2 linked regions of the Styela clava genome follow. The protein of the gene in region 2 interacts with the protein of the main gene of each other region in a biochemical or structural test. Links are inferred from orthologs where the notes say so. Each region holds a gene or a part of one and is shown on either strand. Other genes may lie near its edges.

What was found. The genes of interacting proteins can lie anywhere in the genome.
Region 1: the proteins of cytochrome c oxidase subunit 4 isoform 1, mitochondrial-like (region 2) and cytochrome c-like form a complex in vitro, tested with the Homo sapiens proteins (4 studies listed by BioGRID). The link is inferred for Styela clava from reciprocal best matches to the Homo sapiens genes COX4I2 and CYCS.

What each region holds. Positions count from the first base shown.
Region 1 is NC_135262.1:1,983,841-1,991,517, forward strand, and holds the start of cytochrome c-like, read left to right. Parts: upstream 1-4,603; 5' UTR 4,604-4,655; coding exon 4,656-4,767; intron 4,768-5,627; coding exon 5,628-5,708; intron 5,709-6,194; coding exon 6,195-6,257; intron 6,258-6,935; coding exon 6,936-7,018; 3' UTR 7,019-7,677. UniProt on the Homo sapiens protein: Electron carrier protein. The oxidized form of the cytochrome c heme group can accept an electron from the heme group of the cytochrome c1 subunit of cytochrome reductase.
Region 2 is NC_135251.1:27,352,007-27,358,280, forward strand, and holds cytochrome c oxidase subunit 4 isoform 1, mitochondrial-like, read right to left. Parts: upstream 1,406-6,274; 5' UTR 1,338-1,405; coding exon 813-1,337; 3' UTR 567-812; downstream 1-566. Other genes in the region: uncharacterized protein LOC120335673, read right to left, coding at 408-486. UniProt on the Homo sapiens protein: Component of the cytochrome c oxidase, the last enzyme in the mitochondrial electron transport chain which drives oxidative phosphorylation.

The DNA of each region.
Region 1 (7,677 bases), on a different chromosome or scaffold from region 2:
AGCACTTGTTTTAAAAACATTGTTTCCCGCCTGTATGCGAGTGAGTGAGAGCAAAACGATGTCTACACTTCGCGACCCCTAAAATTCGTCGCTCGACCTCTCGCCCCCCAGTTTGGGAAACCCTGATTTAGATATCTCAGTATTCAGACTGAATCACGCTTAAAACAATATCGGTATACAATCTTACACCCATTAGTGCATATTAGCAACCTATTAATAACCCCATTATTTTTTAATAGCAGTTTATGAAACTGAAGTTTCTTTTTTGATTCAAATTTACAACTTAAAAAACAATTCCTTCATTTATGAATGGTGCAGAAATTTTCGCACAAAAAATTTTGCTATTCACTGTAAAATTTTAAATAAATTGGAGCAGATTTTGTAGAAAAATGTAATTTAACAGTCAAAAAAGTACAACAGAGGAAGATCTATTGCTGCTAAGCGAATTGTTCGTCTAACGCTAGCCTACAATGGGAATATCCAATAAGGGTATAGGGTACTCCTGAAGTATGCGCACCGAGATGTCGCATAACCTGAACCTTAACCTGGTACACAACCTGAGTTCAGGTTGTGCGCCATCTTGGTGCGCATACTTCAGGAGGTCCGGGTATAGATATGACTAAATAAATTGTCATACATATACTTGGGACGATTTTACAAAACTGAACCTGAGTAAATGATTTTCCTGTAGCCAGCCTATACTGCAACACGCGATACCTAATTCTAATAAAAAAGAAATATTGAAAATGAAGGGTGGGTTTTCAAGGTAGATGAACCACTAAATACATATTTGCCATCTCATATGCAAAAATACTGCACCTTGTTTTCACTCAGATTCTTCATATTTTTAAGCTCCCCAGTAATGAAAGTGTTTCATCAAATTTAACTGTTCCACAATATTATTTTGATTTGTGGTTCATCTTGTGAAATATGTATGTGGCAAAATGTTTGCGACCAGCCGGGCTTTCAGATTTATGCTTGCGGCCCTCGTGGTAATTTGAGTTGTGCATGCCTGGTCTTGTGCATACATCCCTTCTTCCGTATTGATAATTACTAACTGGTTTATATTGCTTTTACGAGACGAATAAACATACATACATGGGAACGGGAGCCACTCGTCCAGTTACCAGTACATATCGGGGATGGGATTAATTAACCAGTTAATTGTTTTAGACGACTTTGGCGGGGGAGAAAGTCGTGACTACGTGTTGAAGATTTATTAAAACTTGGGATTTATACTCTGATGTTTTTATCTTTATATATCAACTCCTTAGTTGCTTTGACGAAGTATTTGCGAATAATAATACTCGAAATAGAATAAATCGCGATAATTTTGTTATTGTTTTTGAAACATTTATTGTAATTTTATTAGCCGTATGTATGTATGTTTATTCGTCTCGTAATAGTGATATTATTAGTTCATTATTGCTGTTTGATTAAGTTATATCTTGTATTGTATGAAGAAGTTAGGCCATGATCTAACGAAAGCTCACAAATATACTTACTATTCCGTTGAAAGAGATCATGTTATTTTTACCTATTATTATTTAAGACGGAATGCCTGCACAAGACCTACTGGCCTAAAACACAAATGTGCGGCATGCACCCCTTTTGACAAATATGAAACAAATAACGTTAGATTAAATATGTATAATATTGTCCCTTATATAGACAGTTGCCTTCGTGCATTAAGGACATTCTACTCTTTAGACATTATTTTTCATATACAAATGGTGGGGCTCCCGAAGTATGCGAACCAAGATGGCGGACATCGGAATGTAATATGTGTACTAGGTTAAGCCATAATTTTAGGTATAAATACTACGGGAGGCTCTTAGATAGTCTTCGAACTGATAATAGGACTAAAATAAGGAAAATTGGAAAAAAATTATCGCCTAACCCTAACCAGTTACCCATGTTACGTTCCGATGCCCGCCATCTTGGTTCGTATACTTCGGGAGCACCCAAATGGTGCCATAGAAGATGAGAAAATAATTGCAGAGATAAAAAAAAATACCTCCGATTGAATAACAATGTCATCATGGAGGCAACAAACCTCCATTATTCGGGAAACGAGTTCCAACCACAGATCTGTTCTCTTCTTGCTGCATAATTTTATTGTTTATTACCTTTATATGGTTCCCTCGTTGGATCATCGATTATGCAAACTAGATCATTCAATAAATACTAAACTTATCATGCTGAGACATGGTGACAATAAAATCTATTCTCTCAAGCGCTAAAGAAATTACCCCGACCTTTGATCCCCGAAATATTCTTCCAATACTTTATCATTGCAAAAATTTTGGGGCTATTTTAGGAGCGCTTTTGCGAGTTAGCGCCTGTAAAATGGGGTATGTGTTTCAAACCATCATTATGATTCATCGCATACAACAATCTGTTTTTTAAAAGTACCGGTAAATAATTTCAGGCTAGTCTATCACAGATATTTCTACACCATTTTTTTATTACTACAATTAAATTAAAACTCCTAGGAAGACATTGAATTATTTGATTTATATTCAAGTTTCCGAAACACAACTGAAAACTAACGAATAGAGTTCAAAAACGCGAAAACGAAGTAATGTTTACGACCATGCTTGAAAATCTGTCTGAGTGAGAAAAGTGTCTGAGCGGATGCGAAAAGGGAGCATTGTTACGTCACTTTTTGCATCTTGTTTATTGGCCAATGTTACGAAGTAAACAAGGAAGTGGATGTTCGGATGGAAATAAGTGGATGCAAATAACATGCCTAATTAACAATACGTGGCGAAAATATTAAAATACACAGTAATTATTATCCTTATGTAATCGCTACCGTTCCAATCCAAGACTACGCCATCGTTAAACTTGTAATCACATTATTCTACGACGTCCAAAAGACAAAAGTTCTTTACCTCACATGATTTCCTTTGCGCAATACTGTTGATGACGTGTAGTCTTGCGACACGAATGAATCAGAAGTGACGTCGTCGTCTGACGAAACTGATACGCAAAACGAAGCGCAGGGTTAAAGTCAGCCCAGCATTCATACATCAAAATTGTCAAATAAACAATTACATTCGAATTGAAAAATCCTATTAAAGGGTTACAACATTAAAATAAAAAATTTTCAGAATTGTTCGAGCAAAATACCCAAGCACTGACTTATTTTCAAGATAAAAATTGTAAAAAAACATGCAGTTTTGAGCTCTGTAAGGCATTCTTACTACTATGCCGGGCCAGGCGTATTGTACGCATGCGCCGCATTGCGCAACTCGTTTGCGGTAGGTTACCTTGAAAAGTACGAACAATGTCACAGATGAAAGACTCGCTGTAGACACTTTTCGCGAGGCAAAAGGGCGGTTTCAAGTGTTGAATTCGCGCAATACTATTCGCGATATACCTTTCACACTTCCATCTGTGTTAATAAATTAATCGTCTTCAGCTGGCAACTGGTCTATACATAAGCAGAACCGCAACTGAGTGGGCGTCATTATTTCCTTGTGACGAAATAGTAGTCGTATGAAAGTCAACTATGATGAAATAATATGTTTAAATGTGATGTCACAATTATGGAAATAAATTATTTAATTTATGTTTGAGAACGTAAACATCAAGGATTAGAATTTTGTGTTGTTGCTGTGATAGACATTAAATTACTGAATTCTTAATTTATATGGTCAGATAGCAGGATAGGGAACGATATAATCATAATACTACATTAGAGAATACGGGAGTGAGGCATAAAAGTAAGCATATGACTTTGTTTCTATTAGTTATTTCAGTAATCAGATATGCTTATTTGGGTTATCATATTCCAGTATTCAGTTAGCTCTTTCTGTCTTTAGCTGTATAAAAATATGGAGGAATTTGTAAGTCTTAAGTCATCTCTCAAACAAAGATAATGAAGTTAGGCTTTTCCAAAACCACTTTTATCCAATCCTGGTCTTCTTTACTATTTGTCTAGCCTAATGTTTTTTTACCAAATTGCTGCCAGTAAAACCAAGACTTTCTCTATATTAATGTGTTTATTTTACTTGAATACAGTACCTACTATTGCTAGACTTGCTACACTCACACAAAATCATTTTGTGTAGTTGTTATGCTAGTACTAGATTTTCTTTTATATCAGTACCGGTATTTAACGTTAACATATTCATAGCTATTATAATTCAGACAATATAAGACAACTAAACTATTGCAGTATTCAGGCATTGCACCGGGGCTGCCTCTGGAATGGTTCATTGAAGTTCGCTCCGGGCTACCCTAAAATGCGGGAACTACGAGAAATGCAGTGAAATGACGGGAACTACGGGAAATCGCCAATACTAAAATGCGGGGATGACTGAAACTACGGGAAATTTCACAAAAAGCGGGGATGACAGGAAATCATTCCCTTAGTTCCTGCATTGGCATTTTCCTGTGGTTCCCGCATTTTAGTGCATTTCCCGACGTTCCCTGTCCCGCATTTTGGGGCTGCCCGCTCGCTCCAACTAAAAGATTGGAAAATACTGGTCTAGCCATATATATCCTTCTAAATTACACCACATATAACAAAAGACGAGACTTTCAATATTTCACTGTATTCATTTCAGTTATTATTTTTTATTTCTACCTGTAGCAGTGACTGCAGTAGCTCTTTCTTCATTAAATTAAATTCAAAACAGAAAAATATGGGCAAAAAAGGAGGAGACTCGACACCAAACCCAGAAAACGGAAAGAAGATTTTTGTTCAGAAATGCGCGCAATGTCACACTGTTGAAAATGGTGGAAAACATAAGACCGGTAAGCCTTGATTGCGTCTAGTAGACTTCAGTACAATTCTGCCCTCAACATTTATCTTACTTCTGGCTTTTCTTAGTATTTGATGTTCGCCTTTTTTTCTTCCATTATAATTTAATGTTGGACTTCCTCATAGGTGACGCTGCTAGATAACCATTACTGGTTTATCGCGTCACCTTTCACACTAAAATTCATTTTTTTTATCTTTTTTTAATATGTTTGTACAATGTGTACTTTCGGCACATGTAAAATAAACTACTGACTGACCAAATTATCGGTCCATTGCTAATCAAAATAATCGTATTATACTATGAAAGAATTTGCTCAAAGCAAGTTCATAAGCATTCACTCGTAAGCAAATAAGACTTGATATCTAAGCAAAGTTTTCGTATGGCCACTCATCTATAAGTGCTACTGTTACTAACTTGTTTCTGCTGAAGTTAATTGAAGTCGAATTGTACTAAACTTGACTAGACTCGTCTTTTTAACTGTATTTGATTCTAACCTGACATTAGGAAAAAGTGTATCATAACTATTGCCAATTACAGCGTGTATGAGAGTAATTATACAACACGTGTTATTATAAGTTTCATGTTAGAATTGGATAGACAATTGCTTGCGACACTCCGACTCCAGTTTTTCAAAGATCTCATGATGGTAAAAACGGAAATAAGTCAAAAAGCACTTTTGCCGATATAAGTTACTGCTTCTTACTTAAAAACATCTAGTCTGATGTTCCTCCTACAAACCCTCTTTTCAACTTCAATGACGACCATTCAATTGGTGATTGAGTCTTGAGTCTACACGAGTAAAAACATCTAATTTACCGAAAACTTAATAAAAACATGTTTATGTTTTATTAGGTCCCAATCTCAGTGGTCTTATTGGAAGAAAGACTGGACAAGCACCAGGATTCACTTACACTCAAGCTAACAAAGATAAAGGTGATTGTTGTTGGATTAGAAACATACAGAATAAAAACCTTTCATGGCTCACGGCCCTCTTCTGGAGACTTTAAGGCCTCATGGCTCCCGCTGATATACAATGATGGCAGGGAAAAATTGAATTGGGAATATTTAGTAAATTAATTATTCTTGAAAAAGAAAATTGTTGATTTTGAAAGCAATCAGATATCTTTCCATTTGAAAAGGTTATTTTGAGAAAGATGCGGTCTTCTTAGTGAAGCGGTATTGCATGTCAAATATCACATTTCAATTGCGAAAAGAGGCCTGTTTATTTATTTGTGTTAGTTGTAGGAAAATGATCAAAACTGTCGGAAACACCTTGGTCCTCTCAAAAACATGGTTCTCATATATCAGTGCCATAACCTTACTCTAAGTAAAAATGGGAAATAAATAATTGGAGGTAACAGTACTTTTAATCTGCAACTGTTTATTGAATAATCGTTATTTAATTTTTATTTTTTACAGGTATTACATGGGGTCCAGACACATTAGAAATCTACCTGACAAATCCCAAGAAATATATTCCAGGTACGCTGATATTTATAGTAAAGTAATGCAATAGTGTATTGGATCACCAAGAGCTGTATTTGTCTATGTGACTGTTGATAATGAATAACAATTAATTTAAATACTAATTAATTCAAAACTTTCAAGAGGATTGATGCTGCTATATAAGAGACGAAACAAGTTGGTACTGTGAGGAAAACGCTCCATACATCTGGTACTGTTATCTGTTTCCATACCCAACTACGACCCGGTGTCCAGATAAGAGGCAGTTGTCCAATTCACCATTATTAAGGTCATTTGAAAAATTTGAAACTTTGTCACCCAGTCTGAGCATATCCCGATACTATGCTAGTGAGATCTTAAAACCAGAGTTCGGCTTTTCACTTCTCCCTAGGTAAATATGCCACCTTTGTACCTCTTTCCTCTATCTAAATATGCAGTCTAAAAATGTAACTCGCAGATCTGAAAGAAATCCAAAGACAGTTTTATCAGCTTCCTCTCCCCCCTGGCTAATTGTGTCATTCACAGATTGTAAACCTAGGAGAAATTCTAAAGTCTTTTCAGCTTTCCCTGGCCAAATTCACTTATATAACCTGACACAAACCTAAGTAGGTGTTATCTACCCCAATCCTGCTCTCCTCTGCCCCAATATTGATATGAAAAGCCTTATCCTTACGCATAATAACTTGTATTTTTCAGGAACGAAAATGGTTTTCGCTGGAATTAAGAAGAAACAAGAAAGATCCGATTTAATCGCGTACCTTACTGAATCCACCAAATAGTAGAATTTTTGCACAATTTTTAGAAGTTAGGAAATATAGTAATAATAAATTTAATGTTTGGTAAATAGAGAGAAATTGAATTTTGCTTGTTCTTTCATTCGAATAATTTGGTATTTTCTAGTTAAATTGTTAAACTTTCTGTAATCTAATATATCCATTTTGGGTCACGATTGTAAAATGTTAAAGTAACAATATTTGATTGAATTATCGAAATATATGTTTCAAAAAGCATTGATTTCAATTTTTCACACCCTAAATTCTTTTACCTGTAGTTAATTTGGTCAATAAATGTCTTCTACTAATAAAATATGATATTGTGACTAGGTGTTGCTTTGGTTTCAATTGCTAAATCTTTATTGCTGATGAAATCGATGTATTCCAGTTCTCGGAAGTAAATTTTAATTTTGATGCTTTTTTCATGCTGAACCTTGCTGCCGCCCCCCTGTCAAGAAATGGCCATTCTGTGCGAATTTCTCACAGATTTCAATGGCGTATTTTCCGTTTTCTTCCTCGGAAAAATCAGCCAGTTGGGCCATTTCTTGCCGGTCTTTTCATTATATTATTTATTGCTTGTATAGGTTTTGCTGTGCTGTCGAAATTAAATTAAATTGCAAACAATAATTACTTATTTATTGATACAGCTCATATTTACGCCTACG
Region 2 (6,274 bases):
ATGTCCAGATTCAGACCGCGTTCCGCCAGTTTAAATCAAATTAAAATGTGGGAATTTTTACCCCACCTTGTATGATCATTCAACCAAATCATGCTGTCTGAATTACTATGTTTTTGCCCAATATTCTAGTGTTTCAAATGAGAGCATTGCTATGACTAACCTTGACTCACATCTGAAAATAATTTGGTTTATGATAAAAACTAAATTGATGGTTATATCTAGTATTTTTCGTAACACAATCTTGAAGGGATTACATTAGAAAATTATATAATAATATAAAGGGTTTAAGTAAACAAATAAATAAACAATATATATTTCACTCGGTGTAAGAGCCTATTATTAATATTTAAAAATATCAGAGATAAGGTCTCATGAGTAAAAAGACCTAATGTTTCTCATATACTTACCAACTATTGTGGCTTTGTCCATCTTGATAGTAAGATCAGAACAGTTTGTAATTTTATTGACCGTCAGTTTTCCACTCATGTTGTTTGGTTTGTTGAAGACTCAATTATATGAAAAACTCTATACAAATATATCAAATGGCATACACTAAGACTAAGATGTCTAAATACATCAAACACAATTGGATTAAAATATTGTAACATTAGTAACCAGCAAATAGCAATTGTAATTTAGTTAGACCAAAATAAGATAAATATAATAGATTATTCAACAGCATGAAATCAATAAGCCAATGTAAGTTACAAATATCACTAATCAAATTGAATGCAATGGAAATTTATTTAATATTACTAATAAATCCAATTAATACAAGCACACTGGTCTGAAAGTTTTTGAAACAAAAATGTTTATTTCTTCCATGTGTTGTTTTCGTAATCCCATTTGGAGGAATACCCAGTGACATCTCCTTGATGTTGCTGAATCATTTTCTTGATCGACGCGTTTATCCATTCTTGATCTGTTACGGTAGACACGTAGGGAGGGTTGATGTATACATGAATAAAGAGATGAAGGAAGAGAGTGAAACCAGCAATGTAGAAAAGAACACCAACATAGCTCTTCCAGTTGTCGGTTGGTCTTTCCATGTCAGAGATTCTCATACCGAAATACGCATCATAGAGTTGTTTCATATCTTCTTCTGTCAAATTTTTCCAATTTCCAGCTTCTTTTGCCTTCAAAGCCTTCAATTCTGGGGTTGTGCACCAAAGTCTAGGCTTCAGGGGTAAAGGATTGATCATGTCTTCACGGAAATATACATTGACATTAGGATCATCTGTCATTGCTGGACCAGCGACTCGCACAGGTTGTGAAGTGCTGAGAAGTCTTCTTGCAACCAGGCGGGAAGCTGTCACACGAAGTAGATGGGATGCCATGGTTGTATTCCTATTATATTACCTGTGCTACAAAACTGTTCAATTGAAAAACTAATAATATTAAGCATCATTATTAGAGGTCTTGATATCCAATTGACAAATATAGACAAAAAAGGTAAACCAGTCCAAAGGAAGCAAAAGCTTTGAATGTTACAGGTTAAATAAATTTGACTCAATTTGTAATTCAGAAAACTTGACTAACTGAATCCCGATTTAACAGAAAAGGTTGCACCTCCCCACAACTTTTCGCAAAAATATGACATGTCTATATTCAGGCCACTGGTCGAGATAGCTGACTTTATCAGTGAAAATGGATTTTTTGTTGCTCAAAATATTCAATCCATGACCCACACATCTAATTAAAATGCATTTAAAATGTATAGCCATATTAATTTAATTGTGTTGGTTGAACCTAACTCACCATTATATCGACAAAATAAAAGTATTATATTAATGCTCTATAATACCATGGCAACCCTCGTACATAAAAATAGTGATAAACTGCCGGACTATAACAGGATTTGATTCTTTTTTTTTAGCTGAGCTGTTGTTTTAACACTGGTACTATGATTTTTTTCAAAATATGGCTGTTAGAAAAATACCAAGGTCTGCGAGCATAGTTTACAAAAATGAATTATTGAATACTATATTTACAATCATTTCATAGCTCATATATCATCATAATTAGGGAGACGAGTGTGAGAATTAGGAATAGATATTTGAATGGTACACTTTTTTTTTCGGTCAGAAATTTGAGTTGCGAATTCACTTTTTAGATTTTGATTAGCGTCTAGTAGCAATGATCACATATTAAGTTAACATTTTTTTCCCACTTTCGCAAAGTTCCGAACGAGAAAATAAATAATTATTGAAGTCTTCCGAGATAGGGAGAATTTGCGGAAATATAGTTTACACTTTATTAGCAGCTTTTTCAGTCCTCCTGAAATTTCAAAAGATGGGGGTTCAATAAACCTCGCTGAGCTAGAGTTTGTATTTAAGGTTCAAATTATTAGGCATTATTAGAGAGAGAGAGAGAGAGAGATTTATTGATTCGTCAACCAAAACAAATATAAAAGCTTAAATACAAATAAATAAACTCTTGTTTATGGTAAAGACTGGAGGGAGCGATACGACCATACGGTCATCCAAGTCAGCTCCCCCCATATTCACTGTTATGCATAAGATTCACAGGTATTGGATAGAGTAGATTGGATTAGATATAATAGAGTATTATACACTCAAATAATTTTATTATTACGTTATTATTATGTCAGTCTGTCAATACTGCAGTGATTTACAACTTTCAAAAAAATACAAGTTTTATAATAAAAAAAATAGCTTAAGCCTGGCCCACGCAAGATGTTATTAGATAGCTCAGGTACGGTACTCATAGATAGGGCTGTGCCGACTCCGATGAGTCGTTTTGCGCTGGTTTCCTTCTGTTTCGCGCTGTTTTCATCTGTTTTGCGCTGTTTCGCGTTCTTTGCGGTGTTTCGCGCTGTATTCAGTAAGTAGTAAGACCCCCGGTACTGTTATTGATTAATATTATTTAAAATAATTTGGACGTTATTTGGCTTGTTGTGGCTTTTATTTGATGAGTGAAGCAGGCCTAGCCCACCTCTTCATACATCCAACTTGGCAATTCTGATTGGGCAATTTGGCATTAGGTGACTCCAATTACTGAATTATAATCAGCTTGACGATATCTTTTGAGGAATACTTTTCTATCCACAATACATTACTCTTGTTGACTAATTCGGTATCCAATTTGGCAATCCTCATAAAATTATTAATTTGGTGTGGCAAAAGAATTTATTCATTTTTTTTTATTTGTTTGTAGAATATATTTTCCTTCCTTTTCACTTTTAAGTCTCGCTTTTTTCGCTTCCGACAGTATCATGTCTCGATGATTGTGTGTGTGTGTGTGCGTGCGTGCCTTAATTAGTTTTTTTTTTACTTTTGGGTGAGCGAACACGTACTACTTCTTTTATCAATACCTTTCCATCTAAAATCTGTACGTTTCAAACCTTACTCTAGGTTTTGTTCGCTTTCCCGATTCTATAATCAGTTACTTTTACTTTTATCTATTTTTTTATCGTCTATTGCTGATTATGGAGTCGAAATAAACTTATACTTCTAAAAACCTAAAAAAAAACATGGGCTGCCAATGAGGCACGCAACACCCGAAAGATCGTACCACCAGGTCGGTTGCCGGTGCTACTGCTGCATACATCTATTTGCAAATTACAGTACGCGGCTGGTAGAAGGTTACGTAGCTCATTTCACGGGTTCTGCACCGATATAAACCACATAATAGACGCAGCAGAAGAAATAAGACTGAACTTTCTGGAAATTTAAAAGGGAACTAACCTTGTAAATGGCCTTACGTGACTCGGTAGTGCACGGAGTCTGAATACGCGAGAGTTGGACTGCGGTTAATACAAATTTATCCCACGAGAGAAGAAAGTCGATATACGACGAACCACGGACACTCATTCGGTTACCAGTCCATGTCGGTCATAGGATTAATTAGCCATTTATTTGTTTTTCAGATGCATGGAATTGATGGTCGAGGAATCCGGTCACCTACCATGTGATCACCCTACGACGTATATAAGTATAAGTTTATTTCGACTCCATAATCAGCATAACAATACATTTGACAGATAAAAACAAATAAATAAAATCTGATTATGAAATCAGGGAAGCAAACAAAACCTTAGATAAGGTTTACAACGTACAAAATATAAGATGAAAGGTTTTGCCAAGAGGAAGTGGTACGTGTTTACTCACCTAAAATTATCAAGTTATTTCACACACGCTCACATGCACCCACCAGCCACACACACACACAACCACTGAGAAGTTATTTAAGTAAGAATGAAACGCGATAAATTTAGGGTATACTATACAGTAAACAAAAAAATAAATAAATAAATACTAGAAAAGAAAATTATCTGCCACACCATATTGATATTTTTGTAATGGTTGCCATTGCCAAATTGATCGATCTTCTAATCGTTAATTAGGTATATCAATGACATTAAACAACATGATGCGCAACTCCGGCATTTTTGTCCGAAGATGGTATTCCATAGCACGCTCCAATGCACATACTTGACGAGACGAAAACGAGCGGATGTGTGCTGTTTTCAAGGCGTAGCACGAATGGTGTTCGTGCATGCTTTGACAGTTGTTGTCGATTTTAATGATATTTTTGAAAGTTGGGTAAAAAGAAATCGGTAAAAGGTAAGGTGAATACTATTGTTGTATATCACACCCGGGCATCGCACTGTTAAGTACATGTGGGAAAGCCAGCCTTTGTCAAATACTACGAAGTTATTAATTCAGTACGGTACGTAGTTGCCCATTTGCCGAAATTACATATTTACTTACCCCTTATGGTTTCAAATAGTTCATGCACCTCCAGTTAGATTTTTTTAATCATTGAGGATATATACTCATTGTTGATTGCTGCTCATTGTAACATACTATTACGCATTCACTTTTATTTGCGTATTGAATCAAAGTGTTAACAAGTTCACCTAACATTTCACTCATACCGGTCTATATTGTATAGTCTGATTTCCCAAGTATTTGGAGCCACGAATGCTTGTAATTTTCTGACTAAACCCTTTTATTAGTTGGTTTATATACCAAATCCAGTAAAATATTTTTTAAATAAAACATGAGATATTGGATTTATTAGCTTTTCCATTCTGAATCATATAGACTGCTTTATTTATTCTTAACGAAAATTAATAAATCTCCTCTCTTTCTTCAGATGTGAAAGTTGTGGACAAACCTGTCTAAGCATTGTGAGACTCTTGCAGCACAAGAGGCAATAGCAGAAATAGTAAGTATATCAATCAAGAAATTAAGCCGACATAAAGCAAAACTTTCAACTATTCGTCTAATCTCAATTTCCTATTATTTATTCACAGGAAAACTATAGCAGACGGGGAGATATCAGAAGTCTGGCGACATATCAGTGACAGTGTGATTCCAAGAAATATAATGCATTTGAAAATAGAAAATTGCAATAGAAAAACAACCTATGGAGGCATGCAAAGACATTTGACCCTCCGGTAGAGTTGTGTATGGCCCCCACATCCTGCAGGGCTTGAGGAAAATAACTAAAAATTCCAAAGCGTAAGATTGCATAAGCGGTCTTATTTGTAAAAAGGCACAAAACACGCCAGACATACTTAAAACAGCTTTGGAAATGAGGATTACGGGTACCTCACTGCACCTGTGTTATATTTGGTTCATCAACTTTTGGTAGTACCATAGAAGAAATTCCGGAAGGGGTATAATCATGATTCATGATAAAATACTATCATATATTTTTTGAACAACTTCAATCTAGGCCAGGGATCTCAAACTCGCGGCCCCAGAGAACTTCCAGTGCGGCCCTCGAACGTTTAACAATAATTGTATTCACACAGAAAACAATTTACTGAAAGTAGTTTTGGAATATTGATTTTTTTTGTCCACATTTTGACCCAATTAAGAATACACATCAAGCTAGCAAAAGAATACTTGAATAAAACACTTGAGTAATTAAATTAAACGCAAAGTACATGAAGAAGGTGGCATTTTCGAAGAAAATGGGAGTTGTAACATTTCTGCTCTTCACAAAATTCTGAAGCACATTGTTTAATTTGTCATATTTCCATCAATACAATCAAAAAACACAATAAGCTCAGCAGTCAATATGACAAATTCGAAGACCAACTTCGAACAGAAAATTTCCATGTGTTTGTATATTAATATAATTATACAACGACTTAGTTACTAAAAATCAATATCAATAATAATTCAAGCAATCCTATGCCACGCAATGTAGTGCGAAATGTCTTGTCGAAAAAATCTGTCATTTGTTTTTTTACTGATCTATACATGAAATGATAAAAGTAACTTTTTTGCATTACTGG